Macaca fascicularis: one gene and its partners. The protein of the gene in region 2 binds, or shares a complex with, the protein of the main gene of each other region. Links are inferred from orthologs where the notes say so. Each region holds a gene or a part of one and is shown on either strand. Other genes may lie near its edges.

Region 1 (3,740 bases), on a different chromosome or scaffold from region 2:
AAGGCAGAAGAAGAGGCAGATGAAGGTGGCACCATGGTGAAGAGGGGACCTAATCAGACAGTGGGCTGCTGTGGGGGAAGCTGACATAACTGAAGGGATAGGACAGCCAGCAAGCGCCCATCCTGGCTCCTCCATTCACAAGCTGTGGACTTTGAGGACAATCAAGGAAACTTCCTAACGGTCAGTTTCCACCTCTGTAAGGTGGGAGAAATGTTGATCTCTACCTTACAGACTTTTTACACGGATCAACTAAGATGACGTATGTCAAGTGCTCAGCACAGTGCTCAACACAAAGTAAGTCCAAAGACATCAGTGACTGCCGTTATCATTACTCACACCAGGAGGAGTTGTAGATGATGGGAAGGGGCTCTAGGCTGGGATCAGAAGACCTGTATTCTGATATCTGTCCTGCCATAATGGCCAGGTGGCTTTGGATAAATCCCTTCACCATTCACTCTCAGTTAACTTTTTCTAAGGGGAACAAAGGGCTTCAGGGCTCAGGAGCCCAGTCTCTGAAGTCTGACACACCGGAGCGTGAAAACCTGCGTCCACCACACACTTGGGCAAGCCATTTAGCCTTTCTGGGCCTCAGTTCTCTCATCTGTAAAAATGGGGACAATATACACCTGGAAGGATTGTTTCAGGAGGCAGTGAGATAAAATAGAGTTTAAAAGAATATCTGACATGGCAAACTCTCAAAAAATGGTGCTTATTATCATTATTATTCATGGCTATAGTAGGCACAACAATAGACCCTCGAAGATGTCCGTGTCCCGATCCTCAGAACCTGTGAATATGTTACCTTATGTGGCAAAAGGAACTCTGCAGATGTGATAAAGTTAAACTTCGAGATGGGGAGATGAGCCTGATTGATCTGGGTGGGCCTAGCAATAGAAGGCCTCGGGGTCACCAGGGTGCCCCAGCTGAGCACTAGAATGAGAGTCTGTGATCCTGCCTCCACTTCCTCATCCTCCCCATGCACCCCATGCAGGGAGAGTTTTCATGCACAGGGTGTGTTTGGAAGGCTACTGCTCTTCCTTTCTCATCCTGAAAGCAATGCGAGCGAGCCATTTCCTGTGTCAGGGTTTAGTTCCCCTTTCAGGAAACGGGGAAGTGCTGGTTTAGAGTCCCCGGCTGGTAGGAACTCAGCACGGTCCCCCGCCATCACAGCCTCACTGCCCCCAACCAAACACTGGCCCACTTATTTTCAACCCAAAAACTAACAAGTAATTTTCAGAGAGCTCTGAGCTCACTGACGACTATCTGCAGTCACACAAAGGGGACGCCCTGTGTTTACGTCACCTCTGTTGTTCCCAGAGTTGATGATTATTGCTGAGCTTTCTGCCCTCTGAATACACCAGGATCCCTGAACTTAGACCATAAGGTAAATATCTTCCTCTCCAATACATATCAGATATATATCTTCCTCTTCCGACCTGATTTCCAATGCAGGCTTTCCAGCCATCACCAATGATACTAAAATTCTCCGGAAAAAAAGAAAATGTCATTTTATAGAGAAATAAACACACCTTTAGAAGTGTGGGGAATCCTGCACCCTGGCCTGGTCTTACAGTGACCAGCTGTGCTTGATGATATCAACGGCAAACCTCAACCAAGGGCCAAACCAGGCCCCGCGCTCCATGCTGCTCAACCCCCCTGTGGTGCACTGATGTTTAGATCCCGTTCTTTGACGAGACAGTGCACTCGCGAGTGCCAGGCACAGACTTACAGCCACCCCTCCCACAGGTTTGCTTGCTGCCCACAGGGCAGGGCCCAGGGTGATAGACCCAACTGCCAGCACCACGCACAGCTCAGGGAGCTTCAGTGCCAATGAGCTTTCCCTACAGTGGTATAGGAACAAGCCCTAAAGAGTGCCAGACTTTTGCACCCTCTCTTTACAACTGACATTTCTTCTCCCAAGAAAAGAGAAAGTGTAGGTGGGGACAATTTACAATCAGACCCATCTCCCCCTCCCTTGTCACTTAACCTCCCTGCCCAGTTTCCACATCTATAAGGTGAAAAAACCACCACCTACTTCTCAGGGTTGTTGCAAAGGGTAGACATTGTCCATAAAGCACCCGGCAGGATGCCTGGTATGTTCAAGAGGTGCTGTCCAAGCTCCTCCTGTTCCTGAGTTTGGGTGGTGACCCTGGGCACTGAGGGATACCAGAGTCTCTAGATCCACTTGGTTCTTGAGTTTCCGATTGTGAGCTGCTAAATTTCAGAGATCAAGAGGTACCAGCCCTAACTCAAAACGCGTGTCCGTATCTTTTTGGTACAGATAACGAGAGTTTGGATGGTAAGTAACACCTTTAGTTAGCCTTCAGCATATGGTAGCTCCAATTGTCAGTGTACTGTGTGGGAGATAATGAAAGCTAATAGCTAACATCACACGCTTTTGTCCTTTTAATCCTCCTAAAATTGCAATGAGATAGGGGGTGGTGGTAGCCTTAAAACAAGGAAACTGAGTCACATGGAGGCTACACTGCCAGCATATGGGACGCTAACCGAGGTGTGTTCTACTCTTAACCATGGATCTGCACTGACTGCCCTTCCCTTTCTGATTAACTGAGAACATATACCTACCTTCCAAAGGCAGGGCCAACGGGACTGGTAATTCCTGAACATGTTGTAGAAGGAAGGCGGCCAATCCATTCGCTTTCACTGTGGCAAGATCGAGCAGCCTTCTTGCCTACGGGAAAGACAGAAGACATTGTTCCTCCAGGAAGGCTGATGGAGCAGTGTGGGAAGGCTTACTGATTACTACAACTTCATAAGCATCTCTCTTCTGTCCAGAATAAAAGGTCAGAAAAGCAACTGAACAACCACAGAAGTTTCAAGTCGTTAATAGTGTTGGATGGTGAATTGAACACACGCATCCAATCTGGCTCCTACCCAAAACTCACTGAAACAGTGAATAACTGAAAAATAAATGAAACAACATGAAGACATAAACCTACAAAGATAGGGAAAATGATTCTGTAGGCTGTACACCATTTGGAAGAGAAGTGATTTCATCAAGTCTCATGGATTGAATATTTGAATACAATCTCTGCTCAGACTCCCACATCTTCATCTCCAGCCTGAACTGTCCCCCTGAACCCTGGACTTACGCATCCAACTGCCTAGTTTCCATTTCCACTTAAAAGTTTCATAAACACCTCCAACATATTCAAAACTAAACTCCTAACCTGCCCACGCACCTGCCAAACCAACAGCCTTCCTCATCTTGGCTAATATTAACCCCATTCTTCCAGGTGCTCAGCCCCGAAGTCGTGGAATCACCCTCGAAGTCTCTCCTCTGTAATCTGTCAAATCCTGTTGACTCCACCTTCAAAGCACGTCCCAAAGAGCACCGTCCAACAGAAATAAAATGCAGGGCACAAATGCAAGCCGCATGTGGAATTTCAAATCCTCTAACAGACATATGTTTTAAAGTTAAAAGAAATAGATGAATTCACTTTAATCATATATTCTATTTAACCCACAATAGTCCAAACATTACCATTGCAACATGTAATCCATGTAGAAAATAGCAAAATATGGCCGAGCCTGGTGGCTCACGCCTGTAATTCCAGCACTTTGGGAGGCCAAGGCAGGCGGATCCCCTGAGGTCAGGAGTTCCAGAGTAGCCTGGACAACGTGGTGAAACTCCATCACCACTAAAAATACAAAAAATTAGCCAAGTGTGGTGGCATGTGCCTGTAGTCCCAGGTACTCAGGAGACTGAGGCAGGAGAA
Region 2 (3,740 bases):
CCTTCAAAGAATATAGTCAGCCAGGCATGGTGGCTCACATCTGAATCCCAGCACTTTTGGAAGTTGAGGTGGGCAGATTGCATGAGCCCAGGAGACAAAGATTAGTAGATGGTGAGACCCTGTCTCTACAAATAATTCTTTAAAAAATTAGCCAGGCATGGGGATGCATGCCTGTAGTCCTAGCTATGTGGGAGGCTGAGGCAGGAGGATCACTGGAGCCCAGGAGTTTAAGCCTGCAGTGAGCCATGACTGTGCCACTGTACTCTAGCCTGGGTAACAGACTGAGACCCTGACACTACCAAAAAAAATAATAACAATAATAATAATAATAATAATAAAGCAATTGCATTTTTAGCCAAGGCAACACATATCTTCAACTGCCACCATCACTTCCCTCTGCCAAGGATCTTGAAGGCATATGAAGCCATTTCTTTAAGTTTAGGTAGCAAATAAGCTCCACAAAGAGGAGAGGATAGTTACACCTCTAAGGGGCAGAGAAAGAATAAGGGAGGGGAAAAGTTCATGTGTGTGGAAGATGACAGGATCTGTAGCAACGGCAGCTACTGACAGAGCAGAGCACCCTGCAGGGAGTTCCTGGGTGGGTCCTCTAAACACCCACCTGTACTTCAGTGGTTTTTGTCCTCCACTCAGGGACACCATGAATCCACAGCAGTTGTGAACAAGCTACAGCTTTCTTCTGTATCTGCTTCTTCCTGCCTCTCCAATCCTTTATCTCAACATTCCTATTACTTTCTCTCCTTTCTCCACTGTACCTGCCCATTCCCCCGACCCCAAGGTCTGTGATCATTTAAACATATAAGCATCTCATGTAATTAAAAAAAAATCTGACAACACAAATAGATAATAAAAGCCATATTTATCACCTTCCAAGATTCAACTAATGGTACGTTATTTGGTCAAAAGGAGAAACTCTTCTTCATATCCCCAATTTATATCATAACCAATTCAATATCCATGAGGTGAGGATATTGTCAACTTACCCAGGGGATTGGCACCAATAAATACATTCGCAAAGTTCATCTTCGGCATCTGCGTCAAAGACTGAATATAGTTTCTTGCCTGAAAAAACAAGGGTTTTCAGAATTACTTTGTTCAATAATGTTACTTCTCTCAAAGAAAGAACCTTGGTCCTGCTAAGGAACGAGTGTTAACTGACAAAGTCCACTAACTCCAATGTTTATAACTGTCTTTGATAAAACTTCTCCCTTACTGCTATCCTAACTTCCTAGTTATGATCATCACCTTCTTTATTCCTGCTATCTCTCACAGTTGCATTTCAAGTGAACGAGAATACTCATCAATCAAATTCTCTTTCATCAGCTTTCTGATCACAGGATGAGAAGTTTAAAAACTGAGGCCGAGATATGTAAGAAGTAGCCCTTTCTGAGACAGCCTTCTCAAAAAGCTAAAATTGTTAGAAGGGTTGGTATTCCCAAAGTAAGTCTTGGACCAGCAGTCTTTTGATAGTGCTGACTTCAGCAGGTGCTCTTAGCACATCAAAGGACATCAATATTAAACCTTGCTAACAAAGTAACACTGGTAACAAAAAAGTTAATATAAACTTAATATAACAGTCCTACCTCACAGGGTTGGAGTGAAGATTAGAGATAACAAACCTAGTACTTTCTTAACACAGTACTTGGTTCCAAGTGAGAGTTCAAGAAACATTATCTGCTATCCCACTATCACCTTCAGAGAAAAGCAAAGTCTGCTGTCTATCTTAACCACCTTTTTAAAATTTCTGTTTTAATACAGTCCAACAGTAAAGGTATGTATGTATATTTATGTTTACACATACACACACAAGGTTGTAAAAAGTTCTGGTTGCCCAGACACGGTGACTCACGCCTGTAATCCCAGCACTTTGGGAGGCCAAGGAGGGCAGATCACTTGAGCCCAGGGCTTTGAGACCAGCCTGGGTAACATGGTGAAAACTTGTCTCTAAAAACACAAAAAATTAGCCAGGCATGGTGATGCATGCCTGTGGTCCCAGCTACTTGGGAGGCTGAGGTAAGAGGATCACTTGAGCAGGGAGATGGAGCCCAGGAAGCTTGAGCACAGGAGGTGGAGGTTCCAGTGAGCTAAGATTGTGCCACTGCACTCCAGCTGGGGTGACAGAGTGAGATCCTATCTTAAAACAAAACAAAAACAAAAACAAAATCTGGTTGCTTGGGCAAGTTCACCTTATTTATTAAAAAATTTTTTTTAGAGACACAGTCTCTGTTCTGTTGCCTACGCTGGAGATCACTGGCACAATCACAGCTCACTATAGCCTCAAACTTCTGACTCCAGCAACCCTCCTGCCTCAGCTTCCCAAGTAGCTGAGACTGCAGGCGTGTGCTATCATGCCGTAATTTTTAAATTTTTTTGTAGACCTGCAGTATTGCTGTGTTGCCCAGGATGGTCTCAAACTCCTGGGCTCAACTGATCCTACCATCTCAGCTTCCAAAGTGCTGAGAATTGCAGATGCACGCCACCACGCCCAGCCTTCACCTTCTTAATGATTGCATGTGGAGTCAGGAGGAAAGGTCTGCTTTGAAAAGCAACTGAGAATCTTTCTGATTTGAAAAGAAAGTTGTAGGAATTGAATATATAAATGGCTGTAATCCCTTTCTACTTGAACATGTAAATAAAAAGATGAAGGGAAAACAGGTAAGAGACAATTATCTCATTCAGAGAACAGTCATCCCTTTAATAAAGATAAATCAACAGATGACCTGAATATAGCCGAAGTAGAAACAAAGTTGCTGGGAGGGGCTCTCTGTGATGCCAACCCGGTTCCCTAAAATATTAAGGGTATCTTAGAAAGAAAGAAGTGCCCCAATGACCTCTGATAATAAAACAAGAGTTAGACTAAGTAGTTAAGAATAAAGAAGGTACCTAACTGTACCAAAGTGTTTGTATTTATTTTATATTATTTGTGTATTTTCTTTTAAATATAGTATGTATTAGTACTGGATATTTCAGTTTTGTTTTGTTTTGTTTTTAAATAAAGAATTCTCTTTTGGTCATTAAAAAAGTGGATGAATTAGAAAGCATGCTAATGGACTTCAGTTAACTACCCTTCTGATAAAGGTCATGATAGTAGCACACCCTAGCTACAGGCATAGCACCTAGAAAGAAACCGCCTCACGAGCACTAAATTCACAAAACCAAATATAAAAATAACAATTTTCCATCCCCAATCTCACAAGACTGGATGACATTTTATCCCAAAAGTCAACATCCTGCAATAGCACATAGGCAGGCCTCCAGGCACATGCAAGCATCCAGTGATGTTAAAAACTGTTGGTTATACAGTGGCAATAAAATGAGAACGTGGCTTCTCAGTGCGACATCCCTGTACAGTCTCTTTGTTCTCACCTCATGGCTTGGCATCCTGTTAATGAGATAAGCGGGGGGTGTTCCCGTCAGACGCATAATCTGCTGAAGCTGGTTAATATCTTAGATGCCTAGTCAAGGGCATTGTTAAACATACAGTGCAAAAAATAATTTTCAACTCAAGTTTTTAAAAAGGTCAAAAAGCCACCCCTAAACAAACAAAAAAACCTACCCCCCATTCACCCTACCCGAGGACCCAAGGCTGCATGTTAAAGCTTCTGTGAATGACATGAGTCGCTTCTGTGAATGACATGAGTAACTAGGCATGTAGTCAGTGACTGGCCATGCAGATAAGAAAAATTACTTTTCTTTGGTTTTAGCATCATCTTTACTGTTAA
Region 3 (2,801 bases), on a different chromosome or scaffold from region 2:
GGCTGCGGGACAAGAGGAGAGGGAGTCAATCAGAAGCAGTCAGGTCAAGGGGGCTGGGGCAGTGTGGGGATAGAATGGCCCCTGCCTCTACCACCCCCTTGGGCCACAGGCCTTTCTGGCAGAGGCAACCATAAGAGCTGGCCCAGCCAGATGCTCTTAGGAAGAGATAAAAAGTCAAGTTTTGAAGCACCAGCTGCATGTGGCTACTTAAATGAACTAAAGGTAAAGAAAATGGGCCAGGCGCAGTGGCTCATGCCTGTAATCCCAGCACTTTGGGAGGCCAAGGCAGGGTGGATCACCTGAGGTTAGGAGTTCGAGGCCAGCCTGGCCAACACGGTGAAACCCCATCTCTACTAAAAATAGAAAAAGATTTAGCTGTGCGTGGTGGCACGCACCTGTAATCCCAGCTGCTTGGGAGGCTGAGGCAGGAGAATTGCTTGAACCTGGGAGGCAGAGGTTGCAGTGGGCCAAGATTTTGCCATTGCACTCCGCCCTGGGCAACAAGAGTGAAACTCTGTCTCAAAGAAAAAAAAAAAAAAAAAGAAAATGGAACACTCAGTTCAAGTGTCTAATAGCCACAAGTGCTGGAGACGCGGTGACAGGACAGCACCCATGCGAGCACTCCCGCCATCACAGGAAGTTCCCCAGGTGCAGCTGAGCCACCGACTGTCCATTACCATCTCTCTAAACCCTTCCCAACCCAGGCCCTACTCAGCAGGGCGGGCAAGGTGTCTTCTAGAAAACCTTCCTTCGCCCCCTCCCCTTCACTCTCTTCTCATCAGCTGGGTGGGGACAGGCACCCACTTTAAGTCACAGCTGGAACTGCCTGTTAGCGCTGCCCAGCACCAGCAGAGGGCTAGCCCATGGTGGGACCAACTACCATGGCTCAGACGCTGAAGGGAGTGAGGAACATAGGCAGCGGAGGAGGGCGGGTTGTCCTGCCTTGTCTAGGGCCACAGCAGTCCCACTCTGCTTTGTGGACACAGCTGGAGGACTCCTCCAAGCAGCCCGGCAGGGGTACTGGATAGGCCACCCCTACTGCACTCAGGAAGCCCACGGAGCTTGCTCGGTCTGGCAGGCCTTTCTAGCCCTGTGGCAGTAGTCGCAGCATCCACGACTCACAGGCAGAGGGAAAGGAAGGCCCCCTGATGAGGCAGAGGTAAACAGGCCACCCACCCCACTCCAGGGCCTTTCTAATTGGCCACATCCTGCACACTCCATCCTCAGAGTGGGCTGGGTGTGGCATCTCTATCATTCCATGCAGGGCTGGAATGTGGAAACCAGATCTGGGTCCCCTGGTGTGGGGGGTGCACATTCTACGGAAGGGAAGGGGGTGGGGTGTACTCAGGCAGGTCTGCGGCTGGACGGGGCCTAGCTGCAACCCCCTCAGGCTGCTGTCTCTACCTCGCCCCCTGCCCAGAAACCACAGAACTCACTTCAAAGCTAAACTTAAGCACATTAGCCAGAAAGCACGGGCTCTGACAAGCCAGTACAGGCCAATGTCCCCAAGCAAGGACACCAAGGGAAGTCACCCCATATCACAGGAAGCCACCCCACATCACACCCAGGTGGGGAATGAAAAGAGAACCTTCCACTGACTGAAACCAGCAGACCGGCCCACAAGAAAATACGAGAAGTAGGCTGGGACCATCAGCCACCTGACCGAAAACCCCACCTGCCTCAGTTTCTAGGGAGACCTCCCTCACCAGGCATGGAGCTGGGGACTTCCAGACCCCAGGGCATCTTATCCACAACCCTTGGCCCCATGGTCATTTCTGTCCCGGTGCCACAGGGCACCCATGGGGGGACAGGGCTCGGGGTGGCTAAGTGGGGGAGGGACTTACTTGGTGAGGGTCGGGGTGGCTTCATCCAGGGTGGAAGCGCTGTGAGCCCCATTGACCATCTGGCCCTGGGAGGGCATGACAAGGGAGAGGGTCACGCTGGTCTTGCTGGTGCTCTGGGCACTGGAGTATGGCACAGACACAGGGTACACTCGTCCCCCTGCAGCTTTGGGAGGAAGAGAGTGGGGGCCTCAGGCAGTGGCTGAGGAGACACCCGGGTTAACAGGGGCAAAGCTGCTCCCATGGCCTGATGGGGTGGTGCCTGAGGGCTGAGTGTAGGTGGTGGCCATGCCTGGCTCCCCAAGCCCAGAGCGGCCCCCTGCCCCTTGGGACAGTTCAGGAGGAGTGTCCCTTGGCAGAGACTCTTCCAGGCTGGGCTGAGAACTCCTTGTAGCAATAAAGCTAGCAGTAAAGCCTGCTGGTGCTCAAGTTGCCTCAAGGAAAGGGTTACTGCCTGGCTTCCCACGGATGCTTTAATCCAGAGGATAAGTTTGCTCCCAGTTGAGGCTGACCCAATAAAAATATGGTTGCAATAACAACGGCCAAAGAAACTTCAATAACCCTGGTGTCCATGGGAGAACAAATCTGTCTGTGGATGCCTGAGCTTTATCTAAGGTTTGCTTGTTTAAAACAAAGAAAAAGAAATGCAGCCCTCGGGAACCGAAGGTCTTAGTGCTGAGCAGCACTGCGGGGAGCACGGGAGAAAGCAGCCGCCTCTTCTCCTGAGAACTTGAAGAATGACATAGGTAGAAAGCAAAACGTCCTTCTCCCTGCCCTGCTCCAGTGCAGCCCAGGGACAGACAGGCCCTGGGGCCTGACCATTTGTCCACATGCCTCATCTCTTCCAGGTCTCTTCATTCTTCAGCCTCGGATTCCCCCTCTGGAAAACAGGGGTACCGCCTGTCTTTAGGGTTACCCATGAGGACCGAAGGGAATAATGCAGGCTGTGCGCCTGGCACA

The links. The genes of interacting proteins can lie anywhere in the genome.
Region 1: MAPK14 (region 2) and NOD2 share a complex: the UniProt entries of both Homo sapiens proteins name them as parts of the signaling complex. The link is inferred for Macaca fascicularis from reciprocal best matches to the Homo sapiens genes MAPK14 and NOD2.
Region 3: the proteins of MAPK14 (region 2) and TAB1 are in contact, whole or in part, in a crystal structure (PDB 4LOP), measured with the Mus musculus proteins. The link is inferred for Macaca fascicularis from reciprocal best matches to the Homo sapiens genes MAPK14 and TAB1. Residues at the interface, in NP_036081.1 of Mus musculus: Gly110, Ala111, Asn115, Ile116, Cys119, Gln120, Lys121, Leu122, Thr123, Asp124, Asp125, His126, Phe129, Val158, Asn159, Glu160, Asp161, Cys162, Leu217, Thr218, Gly219, Arg220, Thr221, Leu222, Asn272, Val273, Phe274, Ile275, Gly276, Ala277; in NP_079885.2 of Mus musculus: Val385, Tyr386, Pro387, Val388, Ser389, Val390, Pro391, Tyr392, Leu405, Ser406, Leu407, Val408, Met409, Pro410.

Annotation. Positions count from the first base shown.
Region 1 is NC_088394.1:46,666,491-46,670,230, reverse strand, and holds part of NOD2 (nucleotide-binding oligomerization domain-containing protein 2), read right to left. Parts: intron 2,693-3,740; coding exon 2,587-2,692; intron 1-2,586. UniProt on the Homo sapiens protein: Pattern recognition receptor (PRR) that detects bacterial peptidoglycan fragments and other danger signals and plays an important role in gastrointestinal immunity.
Region 2 is NC_088378.1:135,569,836-135,573,575, forward strand, and holds part of MAPK14 (mitogen-activated protein kinase 14), read right to left. Parts: intron 3,465-3,740; coding exon 3,385-3,464; intron 1,081-3,384; coding exon 1,002-1,080; intron 1-1,001. UniProt on the Homo sapiens protein: Serine/threonine kinase which acts as an essential component of the MAP kinase signal transduction pathway.
Region 3 is NC_088384.1:12,226,329-12,229,129, forward strand, and holds part of TAB1 (TGF-beta-activated kinase 1 and MAP3K7-binding protein 1), read right to left. Parts: intron 2,008-2,801; coding exon 1,845-2,007; intron 3-1,844; coding exon 1-2. UniProt on the Homo sapiens protein: Key adapter protein that plays an essential role in JNK and NF-kappa-B activation and proinflammatory cytokines production in response to stimulation with TLRs and cytokines.